Linked DNA regions of Drosophila melanogaster. The protein of the gene in region 1 interacts with the protein of each later gene in a pairwise test. Each region holds a gene or a part of one and is shown in the gene's direction. Other genes may lie near its edges.

Region 1 (3,694 bases):
CAATAATAAGGACAAGGCGCTGGACTATCTAATCAACTAGTATAATTTAGTGGAAACCTTTTGTACGGCCGGCTTTTACCCCCATGCCCAAACTCCGCAATCCCACCCCAATTAGCTTACAAAGATGACTCCTCTAAACGTATATTTAATTATTAAAAGTTATTAAGAGATATTCCTTGCTTAAGTTGGGAGTTTAATGCTTCAGAATCCTCAGCAGCAGAATAAATATAAGTCCGTAAAGTAAGCACATTATGTTGGCTTTTTAGTCAATTCCGATCCTTATTAATTCATGCTCAGCATAAGCAGATTAATAGCGTGTTCCACATTCCCATCGGAAAGTTCTAGATAACTAACGTTCTGAGTGTGATTAATGAAGCCCATGGCGGCCATGGTACGCAGTTGTTCGGTGAACCGATGGCGACGGTAGCGGCGTGGCAGCACATCACTGTCGTCTCCACCATCGTCCTCGTCATCTACATCATCGGCTGGTGCTGTGGCGGCTTGCTCTGGTACTGGTCCTTCTCCGGACTCCACCTCCATGTTCTCCACAGGCGCCGGTTGATCCTGCGACAGGGACTGAAAAGCGCGGGCCAGCTCGTTGCGGAGCAACTCTGAGGATATGGATCCGCTGCTGATGGCTCCACTGCTGCTTCCTGCGCCTGTTCCCGCTGCTCCTCCAACGCCTGCTAATGGCGCCGAGGTGGTTCTAGGTCTTTCATCACCCTGCACGGCCTCGTCCGCGTTTCTCTGCGCAATATTCGACAGTGAATTAAACGGGGTCACGTTAGCCAATGCGTTAGCCAGTTGCTGGCGGCTAATCTGACGGATGTTGGCCATCTCATCACGCCGATTGGCGGCCGCGGCAGCTGCCACGGCTGTGCTGCTGCTTCCACCACTGCTGCTGCTGCCTGCACCCAGAGAGTTTTCCTCCTCTGACGAAGTAGTAGACTCCGAAGCAGCTTGCTCCTGCACTAAAAAGGAAGAAACGGGTAAAATATACAAATCAAGAATAGATACGGCATTAGTTACACTGCGTGGCCGAGCTATTTCTGGCTAGCTCCTTGCGAATGGTGTCCACTATGAATGGAGCGGCCTCGCAGATGAGGGGATAATCTTTAACGAGATTTTGGACCACTTCCGGCTCGTGCAGCATGTTGAACAGTACGGAGTCGCGAATAAGGGCCTGGGCGCCCAGATTTCGCCTAAATTCCGGATACTCAGCGAGTATCTTCTGCAGAATGTTGAACCGCGAGGTAACGCTGATTTGCAGGTGCGAGGTCAACGAAAACAGCTCTTGAATATGCTTCGTGTTGATTTCGGCGGCGGCTGGCGGCACATACGGCGAGTAACGTTTAATCTTCTGAAAGCAGTGGATCACGGCGTTGGGCTGCAGCGTTCGGTTGAGGGTGTCTGCGTCCTCCAGCACGCGTCCGTGGTGGATGATCTCTGCAAGTGCGCAGCAAATGACTTGACACAATAGAGACAATGGACAGCGATTTGAATCCCGAGGGTCACTCACCCAACTCGCTGGCGTCGAATTGCAAGTGCATCTCTTTGGTCACCACCGCCTTTAGGTAGGCCACATCCCGCGTCAGATCGATGTTGTGTAGGGGATGCACATCGCTCAGCTTGTTCTTCAGAAGCGCGTACACGGTATGCATAGTGCGTTGATGTAGAATCTGCGTAATATTTGTAATTCACTATTTTGTCTGGGTGATTTTGTTTTGTTCAAAGACAGTTCGGAACTGGTTCCAACGAACCGCCTTGAACACAGGGTGACCCTTACATGCCCCGATAGCCCGAACCAGACTGATCGGGTCGACCGACGATTTAAAAAAGGCTAAAAAAGCTAGATCTAAAAATACCGCTCTAGGATTGCTGTCGAATTTTCAACATAAGTGTTCATTTGTTGACAATAAGAAAACGTAACTTTTGCTATTGTTTTTGTTTTACCTTGTTCAAGTCATTTCATTTAAAATGTACTGTTTTTAAAGCCATTGAAATTCAAGGTGACCCAAAATAAAACCCTCAATCCCTATCGACCTATCGATTTTTGACAGTTTCCGCTCCAAATATGTTAAATATACGAGTTGTAAAATGACCTCCCAAGAAACGCAGACTGAGGGTGAACGTAGGAGGGTAACTCTTCCATCTTCGACACCAGATAAAGGTACACCATCCAAAAAAGGCAGCGAGGAGCCCAACCGAATTTCGAACACAGAGTTCCAAAAAAGAGTAACATCGGACAGAAGCGATGAGCCGGTCTTCAGCTGCCAATTCGAAGTGTTCGGCATTGTGCAAGGTAGGGTATTCACAAATCGTATAGTCGCAATAATTAGTTATCTGGCACCAACAGGCGTTTCATTTCGAATGGTAAGAGCTTGCTGGGAAATGGGATCTTCAAAACCCCTTTGAGCTATGGATTTTCTGCTACCTCTTATTGTATATGTGAAATCTCTTTACTGTAATCCAATTACCATGTTTTAGTACACCTTGCGAAGAGCTCAAAAGCTGGGAGTCCGGGGTTGGTGCAAAAACACCAACGAGAATACGGTGAAGGGCGAAATTCAAGCACACCGACATTCCTTTGAGTCCATGTGAGTGATTTTTTCCATTCAACGTTTAATTATCAAGCCGTTCTTTTACAGGCGCCTCTGGCTAAAGCACACCGGCAGCCCCACCAGTCGAATTGACAAATGCATTTTCAGTGAGACTACAGAACTTTCAGAATTCACGTTCACTAACTTCTCCATAGTGGTGGATTAGTTGTTCTCTAAAAGCTTAAAATCATTTAGAAACGGAATTGAATTTTTCTTACACACACTTATACAGTATTTGGATATGAGCTACAAATTTTTCTATTGTTATAATATTAAATCTAACTAAAATGCAAATAAATTAGTCCGATATTTTATAGTAAACGAGCCTTAAACCATTTATGGTAAGTACATTTATTTTTAAATTCGATTGTTTTGTTAAACAAATATCGACTAGTAAGACCGCGCTTTGCAAAAGGCAGAATCTCATTGGATTGGGTGAGATAAGTGGGCCGGTGACTGGGTCGTAGCTTCTTGTTTAATTTCAATTCAATCCTCGAAGCAACAGGTTGTGCCGCATCTTTTCCATTTAATCTGTTACTCAAGTCTGTTTTAGTGTACAAGTTATCAAAAATCAATACAAAATGGTCAACACCAAGTTCTTAACGTTCAACAATGGAGAGAAGATGCCCGTGATTGGCATCGGCACCTGGCAGGTATTTATAATCACGTTAATTCTGTAATTTCATAGATTGCTTGTAAGTGGTTAAATGGATAGTAGATATTCGAATCTTAATACTATTGTTTCAACTTATTAATGACCTCAACAAATCGCTGACACGTCATTTAAATCTCTTGAAATTCCGATTCCGATGCAATCAACAATTTGGTTGGTGCTGGGGGACTTTAGACCGGTTTTCAAAAACAAACAATAAACCACCATTCATATCCACTGGTGGACTGGACTTTCTCTGGTCACGGGAGAATAAATATCGTTGTAAATCGAGTTTGAAGATTTTCGGGTAGTGTAGATTATGCAAATCCTATAATCAATATATATACAATACCACTAAACCGCACTTTCATCACCACAATGCAGGCATCTGATGAGGAAATCGAAACCGCCATCGATGCGGCTTTGGAAGCTGGGTATCGCC
Region 2 (7,743 bases), on another chromosome or scaffold:
ACTTACTGACCTCTTTTCCCATGCGACGGCCACTTCCACCTCCACCTCCACTCAATTTTCTTTAATGCACGCGACTCCGCCGCCAATGATCTGCTTCTTCACCTTCCTCCACCCACCGCCAGCGCACAGTGGTTCCAAAACATGTGGAATTTAAGCACCCACAACGCATTTCCCAAAAATGATGATTTATTGCACAAAGTTTTAAGGGAAAGTACTCGTAAGAAAAAAAAGCAACATTAAAATTCTTAAAAAGATTGAATATTAACTTAAAGCTCATATGTCCCGAACCATGAAAGATTAAGGATTATGTTTTGCTTAAGAACATTTATTTACTTACTATTTATAGTTTAAAATATAACTTCATTTTTTATGTTACTAGCAAGTTATTTATTTGGGTAGCATTACTTTGTATTCCTTTTAACATAAGCTAGAATTACTTAACTAAAATATTATTATATCAAATATATAATACCTAAGACAATTAGATAAGGTCTAAGCTCTAATAGCTAAACTATGCCAAAATCAAATATTTTTGTGTGAATGCATTAGTAAACATGCACCTTAAATTGGCATCAGGACACTGTGCAAGGTGATAGTAGGCTATGTGTGTGTGACCCTTATTCGCAACGGCCGCTGAGGCGTAAAATTTATGGCTTTAAAGTCTACAAGTCTATAAACACAGCTTCCAGGCTGCACTTTCTACTGCAACTGCAACTGCCAATGCCAATGCCACTGCAACTGAATCGTGGACTCGGATCGTGAATATTGTATATTGGATGTGGGATGGTATGGCTTGGGTTTGGGCATCGGAGATGTTGGGGGAGCACGGACGTGGATGTGGATGCATCTGATCCGATCGAATCGTATCGTATCGAATCGAATCGAGTGTGTGAGTTATAATTTCAAATGCGGCGCGCCTTTTTGGCTGCATTTTGCTGCCACTTTTGGCAAATTAAATTTGTACGCAAAACCGATTAGGCCAGGCAGACATGACCAAGTTGTTATTTTAAATACCAACAACTCCATTTAATCAATATGCCCCGGCACCCAACAATGCACTCGAAAAACTTGTGGTAGTAAACCGTTAAAGTTTAAAAAGAAATATAGGTCTATTCAAAAAGATCAAGACTAGACTACATTTTTAACTTAAATTTACTTGCTCTCTTTACTGCTCTCAATATATGTTACATTTTGAAAGTTTGAAACTGCACAGACATGCATATCTTTGAATTGTATCCTTTTACAATCCACCATTGCTGTTATTGTACATTATAACTTTTTTATTATTATTCATATATATTTTTATTTTTTCATTGTTTTTCAACTTTAAAAACTTAAAGAAAGCGGTGCTTTTTGTCCTAACTGGAAATACTCTTGATTTAGTATTCAAAAGATGAGTGAATTGTTTCGAGTGTAGCTGCAACAACAACAGCGCTGGATGCTCTGCTCTGCCGTCGCCGACTGCGCTGCCTTTCACCCATATAAATTTCTTTTCATTGCAAATTTTTTGCCATTCGTCGGCGCATTGTCAAACCTTCCAGTCGCATTTGGAGCCCAAGCTTTCCGAGATTTCAGAGCGACTCTAGAGCGCACTAAACAAAGGCCTAAGAAAAAAGTTAAAAAGGCGAAAAAAGAAACAGAGGCAAAGACGACAATACGAATTGTACAAATCGGATGCGAGCGCGAGTGTGTTAGTGCCCATTCATTCATTCATTCATTCGAGAACAATAAAAAAGAAGAAATGAAATACGAAATGCAATCGCCGCAGTTGCAGTCGCAGTCGGCGTCGCAGTAGGCGTCAGCGGAGGCATCGGCCGAGGCAGAACAGTAGCAGCAGCATCGAAATCCGAAAGACAGATCATTTTTCATATGCGAATCGAAACTCGAAGAGCGCGCATCAAAGTCAAATTCAAACGACAAAAGAGTAACGGACAAAAGCGAATTGTTTTGTGCGCATAATAGAAACGAAAAAAAAAAGAAAAACGTTATAAAAAGCAAATAAAAGGAAAATAAAGCCTTACCAGAACCAGTAATTGAAATCAAATTAAAGGCGGGCCGTGCAAAAATCCACAAAACATCAAGAAAAAGCCATAAAGCCAAGGCGATAAAAAAGAAATTATGCTCCATTGTGCGATTGTGTGAAAAGGTCAAGTGCCCGGCAGGCAAAGGGAAAAGCGAAAGAGACAGAAGACAGCGTAAGACACGGGAGCTTGATGTTGATAGGCAAACGAATGAACTCGTAAAAGGGCGCTAAAGAGAGAGAGAGAGAAGGCAACACAACGACATCGGTTAACAAGAAGAGCAGGAAGAAGAAGAAGAAGAGCAGGCCAGGCCCAAATGACCGCAAGATTACCGTTAATTCGAACAGCTTAAGCGCCATTACGAGCAGTTATATAGTCCATATACTATATAGCACCACTATATCTCTATCTCCCTGGTAGATCGACCGAGGAAGAGAAAAAAAAACTTTCATCCACCGTGAGCCGCAGCCGCATAAAAGTTTGCTACTATTTCAATTTCAATTGTTAACGAGCGAAAGCGCCGCACGCCTCAGTCTCACATCACGCACGCATCCGATCCGAGCGGCAACAACAAATCATCAAGCGTCTAATAGGAAAAGTGCAGCAGACAGCCAGCGAAAATGCACCACAAACAGCATCTGCATCTGCATCTGCAGCCCCCCGCCCCAAACGCCACCCAAACACAGGCCCACGGACTTGGCCAGACTCCAAGCCAGATCGCCAGATGCAGCCATAACCACAGCCCCAGTCTGGGCCTCAGCTTTGGCGGCACCAAGAGCCAGCGACAGCTGTTTGGCGCACTCTTGGCCATGTTCACGTTGGCGGCATTTGCGTCAACCACCAGTGGTAAGTCGTACACTGCGAGAAATCCCAAAATTGGTGCTACACGTTGAGTAGAAAGTCACAGGAAGTAGTCTTAGATCATTCGAATCTCTTTCCTGGCATTCTCACTATTCAAATTGTTTAATTGCCTCAAGAAATGAATCAGCTAAAGAAGTATACGTTGATTCAGATTCAGCAAAGTTCCTCCTAACTAAATTAAAATCAGATTAAGATAAAACTAGGTTCCTTAAGCAGAGCATTAAGTCCAATATAATCATAAAAGAGAAAACTGACTATGGAACTCTTAAGCCATTGCTAAAGTAAAGAATGCTCTATTTAAATCCAGATTAGTTAACATTACATTTAAAAGGGCCTAATACAAGTTTCAAAGGGTATTAGTTTTCCTCTTGCTAAATGTACTTTCTCCTAACTATCACATCGTTATTGAGTTGCAGTTAAAACTGCGGACAGAGTTCTAGGGAAACCCGAGTTCTTCAGCGGAAAACGGCAACTGATCTTGAGCTAAATGAAAGTTGCAGACAGACTGGACAAGTCCCAGTGAGTGCCGTCTCAATTACCGCCTAATTTCTCCGGGTGTTGAAACGGAGAAGGTGAATCGGGGTCCGGATCTAAGACCTACAGCTGTGCGGTGGTAGAAAGGCCGTCGCAGCAGCTATTCAACTATCCATTTCTAAGGTACTACTCCGCACAAAGTGAATGTAAACTGGCACACATACACGAGCGCGAAGCTTCCAATGCCCCAACACCTCTCCCCCCACCGCCCCCTAGACCACGAACTCCCCAGTTTGAGGCACTCACTCCTCGACGCACAACATGCTCGTAAATATTTTCGTGCACAATTTGTCCAACATTCGTATAAATTCATTAAAAGCACGAAGGGGCCAAACAGAAGCCGGGGGCCTGAAAACGTAGGGGGGGGGGGGGGCTGGTGGAAGAGGGGCGAATCGCTAGCTCATGGGGGGGGGGGAAAATCAAGCTGACCGCACAGTGGCAGCGAGCTGGAAAGGGTTGGGGGTCAATTGGGGGGGTTACATCGTTTAAAGTTGACCCGAAGCGAAATGATTTATTTGACTTGTAAGCGCGATCGTTTGGCTAATTGATAACCGCACTTCATCGGAGATTGATGGGTGAAAGATCAATTAGTTTTGGATGCTGTGATATATGCTCGCATGCATATACACATATATATGTACATATGTACATATATGTTTTAATGGCCCCAATCAGTGGCGCCGTGATTCATTCATCTATGGGCTTGGTCATGTCGCTGCTCGCCACTGTGCCACACCAAACCGGAGCAAACCGAGTGCACATGGTGTGCTCCATGTGCATATATAGATATGTATGTACATATGTACATATATATATGTACATACCCAGTATATATCATGCAAAAGTCCCTGCCCAGCAGTGCAGTGCGTTGGTTGCTGGATTTTTCCACTTTTGAAAATTATACGGTGGCTGCTTTTATTATTTCTCTCGCCTTTTTTTTTTGCAATTGATGGCATCCGATAGGCAGGAGCCTGCCAGCAATTCGCTGGAGGCCAGGAAAATGCACCTGCACTGGGAGAAATCAGCAGAACATATGAACAAAAGGAAATCAGTAAATCAGAGGTGTATTTAAAATGCAAAATAGTATGGTGTATGGTGTTGTATAAGTTTGTACCATTAGTTTGCATGAGTGATTTGATTCTGAGTTTATCCCAGGACTAGTACCACACTTTTCTGCCAGTGCAGGATTGGTGAGAGTGGGTGGGGCGGTTGAGGTCGCATTGCTGCAATGCTGAATGAGATTGGCTGTGGTCTCGGCTTTTGCCTCTGACCATTCCAGCGGATCGTTTACATGTGCATTAATTCCTAACGCCGCTTAATTTTCTCCGCGCTTAATGGCTCCTCTGGATGCCGATGCCTCCGATTCAGATTCGGACTCGCATCCAGCCAGAGAAGCATCCGAGTCCATTAAGCTGAGAATGCGTCTGCTCGACTGACTGACTGGCTGGCTGGCTGGATGTTGAAATTTCCATCTTTATGGCCGGCAGCAGCAAATTGGAATAATGAACGTGGGTTCAATTATCGCAGCCAAACCATCGTGTGGCAGCCTCAAAGAGCGCTAATAGATTTTCTACTGCTGTTGGGTATGTCTATTTACGTTCGTATATCTTTAACTAAGTTGAGTGCTTCCTCCGGAGGCGGCTCTCACAGCTTTCTTTGCAAACAAAAAAAAAAAAAAAAATAAGAAAAATGGACAAATCAACCCAAACTAAACCAGCAGTTCCACATCCGACCAAAGACAACAGAAATGTTCGGCGCCGGAGGCAATTAGTGTGGAAATTTCACTTGCAGTTTTTAGCACAGATTAAGCTTACGATTTCTGGAGGGGATTAGCATGAACAATTATAGATGGAGGTCGCTGATAGTCCGTATGAACGAAGCGAGTGTATTAGCTGTGCTCAAACCACAGCCAAAACATAAATGCCATTGTGTCGTTTTACTTGGAATCGAGATTTGAAGACGGGTAACATTTGCCGTTGCCGTTAGTAAAAAGGGAAAGAATTATTCAAGTTAATGGCTGGTTACTTGAGTCGGTCATGCGATCACTCCAGAATCAGAGACTGGTCTCGGATGCGGGGGAGTGTCGGCGGGTGGCGGCATGGACACAGTGGGTCACAACTGCGCAAAATGCCCTATGATCGTGCGGCTAATCTGACATTTGTATGCCCACAGTTGACTCTTCCGCATGCCACCGCTAAAGAGCTGTGGAAAATGCGAAGGGAAAGTTTCATTTGGCGGTCTCGAAACAGAGTTACCCTGGGAAAATTCGATGGACAACCGGTCATTACGTGCGGGGAAGTAGTAATTATTACTAAGCTTTGTTTAATAAGTTCATATAACAGAGGAGGAGGAACTACTGTCTTGCTTTAAATGTTTAGAATTAAGTTTCTAGATAGAAACCAATTAAATTCTAAAATCATTTCCATCCACAGGCGCTGTGACAGACTCACCCATCAAGATTATCCGGCTGCCGGCGCAGGCGCCAGTTATCCGCTATCGCAGTGCAGATGCGGCGCCCAACTCATTGCTGATCAACTATCGTCAGGATGCGCGACCGGAGCTGTCGTCCACATTGATGCAGGCACCCGGAGCGGCGGCAGCTGCCTTGGAGTCGCTGCTGCGCGAGGAGACGGAGCAACAGCAGCTGTCACAGATGGGCAGACGGAATAGGGCTAGTAACACCGGCACCGGCAACTGTCCTCGATCCTGTCCACCGAGCATCACCGTGGGAGCTGAGCCCGTGTGCGGCAGCGATGGTCTGATCTATGCGAATATCTGCGAGCTGCGCAAGAAGACTTGCTCCCGCAGTGGAGTGTCGCTGATCAAGGACGTGCGGGATGGCTGCGAGAGGTCGAAGGGTTCGGACTGCAAGCACCGCTGCAGCACGGAGAAGGATCCAGTGTGTGGTACAGACGGAAGGACCTATCTGAATCGCTGCATGCTGAGGGTGCAATCGTGTCGCGTGGGATTGGCTGCAGTGAAGCTATCGCATGTGGGTCCCTGCAGCAACACGAGTGCCGTGCGTGAGTCCTGTCCGGTTGACTGCAACAGTGCGCCGAAGGATGGACCAGTTTGCTCATCGGATGGCAATGTATACAACTCCACGTGCGAGATGAAGCTGAAGACGTGTGGACAGGGTGTGGTGAAAACCAGCCGGAAGCACTGTCAGTCCACACGAATGTGCAGGGAATCCTGCTGGCGTGTGGCGAGGCCCACTTGCGGATCAGATGGCAGACTGTATGCCAGTCCGTGCAAGATGCGCTCTTCCAATTGCGGCAAGCACGTCTTTGAGGTTCCCTTATCCTACTGCATGTCGCAGGAGAGGCACGGAGCCTCCGATGCCTGTCCCACGGAGTGTCCCAAATCGGATACGGATTCCTCGTCGCAGTACGTGTGCGGCAGTGATGGCAACATATACTCTTCGCTGTGTGAACTCAAAATGCTCAATTGCGGGTGAGTTTGGATGAGATAAAAATGGAATATAACCAGACTAAAATTTTATCTTTCAGTCCACAGCGCAAGTCCATTCAAAAAGTGAGCATGGACAAGTGCAAGAATCGACTGACCCGCTGCAAACAGCTGCCTCCTTGCAAGGACTTCAATAGCTTGTTCGGTTCCATCTTCAGCTCGAAGCGAAATGACAAGCTCTGCGGCACGGACGCCAAGACTTATAACAATGAGTGCGAACTGGCCCACGCCACCTGCCTGTGAGTATCCATGATAGGATCATCCATAGGACATGGATCTAGCTCTTCAACTTCTTTTCAGACGCGGCGTGAATCTGGCCCACATTGGTCCCTGCACGGATCTCAATTCGCCCACCAAGGATTGCGGGGATGCCTGTACTCGGGCGGATCTGGAACAGCAGCCAGTGTGCGGCTCGGATGGCAACACCTTCGCCTCCATGTGCGAGTTCAAGCGGCGCACTTGCGATCTGCGTGTGGTGCCCGTTTCGCTAAAGAATTGCGCTTTAACCGCCGACTGCGAATCGGATTGTGATGCCCAGCCGCCAAGTTTCGTCTGCGGATCGGACAACAACTTGTACAAGTCCGAGTGCCACATGCGCAAGGAGAATTGTGGCAAGCATGTTTTCGTGGTGCCACTGAAGCGCTGCCTTGCCGCCTTTCAGCTTAAAGGATGTGCCCGCATCTGTCCCAGGGAATTCGAGCCTGTTTGCGGCAGCGACAATAAAACGTATCTGAACGACTGCTTCCTGGAGATCGAAAACTGCAGGGCGAACCAGACGGTGAACGTCAACTACTACGGCGCCTGTGGCCGCCCCGAAGCACCATCCACTAACTTCCTTTACTAGGACGTATGTATGCGT

The links. Proteins that work in one complex are often made in the same cells at the same time.
Region 2: the proteins of CG11052 (region 1) and CG32354 interact in a two-hybrid assay, tested with the Drosophila melanogaster proteins (one large-scale study listed by BioGRID).

The regions. Positions count from the first base shown.
Region 1 is NT_033777.3:8,007,455-8,011,148, reverse strand, and holds CG11052 (uncharacterized protein), read left to right. Parts: upstream 1-1,851; 5' UTR 1,852-1,925; exon of another isoform or gene 1,926-1,994; 5' UTR 1,995-2,097; coding exon 2,098-2,302; intron 2,303-2,356; coding exon 2,357-2,373; intron 2,374-2,487; coding exon 2,488-2,597; intron 2,598-2,648; coding exon 2,649-2,766; 3' UTR 2,767-2,900; downstream 2,901-3,694. Other genes in the region: CG10435 (uncharacterized protein), read left to right, coding at 1-40; CG3223 (uncharacterized protein), read right to left, coding at 283-971, 1,030-1,446, 1,520-1,661; CG2767 (uncharacterized protein), read left to right, coding at 3,182-3,253, 3,637-3,694.
Region 2 is NT_037436.4:8,415,965-8,423,707, reverse strand, and holds the start of CG32354 (uncharacterized protein), read left to right. Parts: upstream 1-1,502; 5' UTR 1,503-2,641; coding exon 2,642-2,867; intron 2,868-5,848; coding exon 5,849-6,869; intron 6,870-6,925; coding exon 6,926-7,123; intron 7,124-7,184; coding exon 7,185-7,728; 3' UTR 7,729-7,743.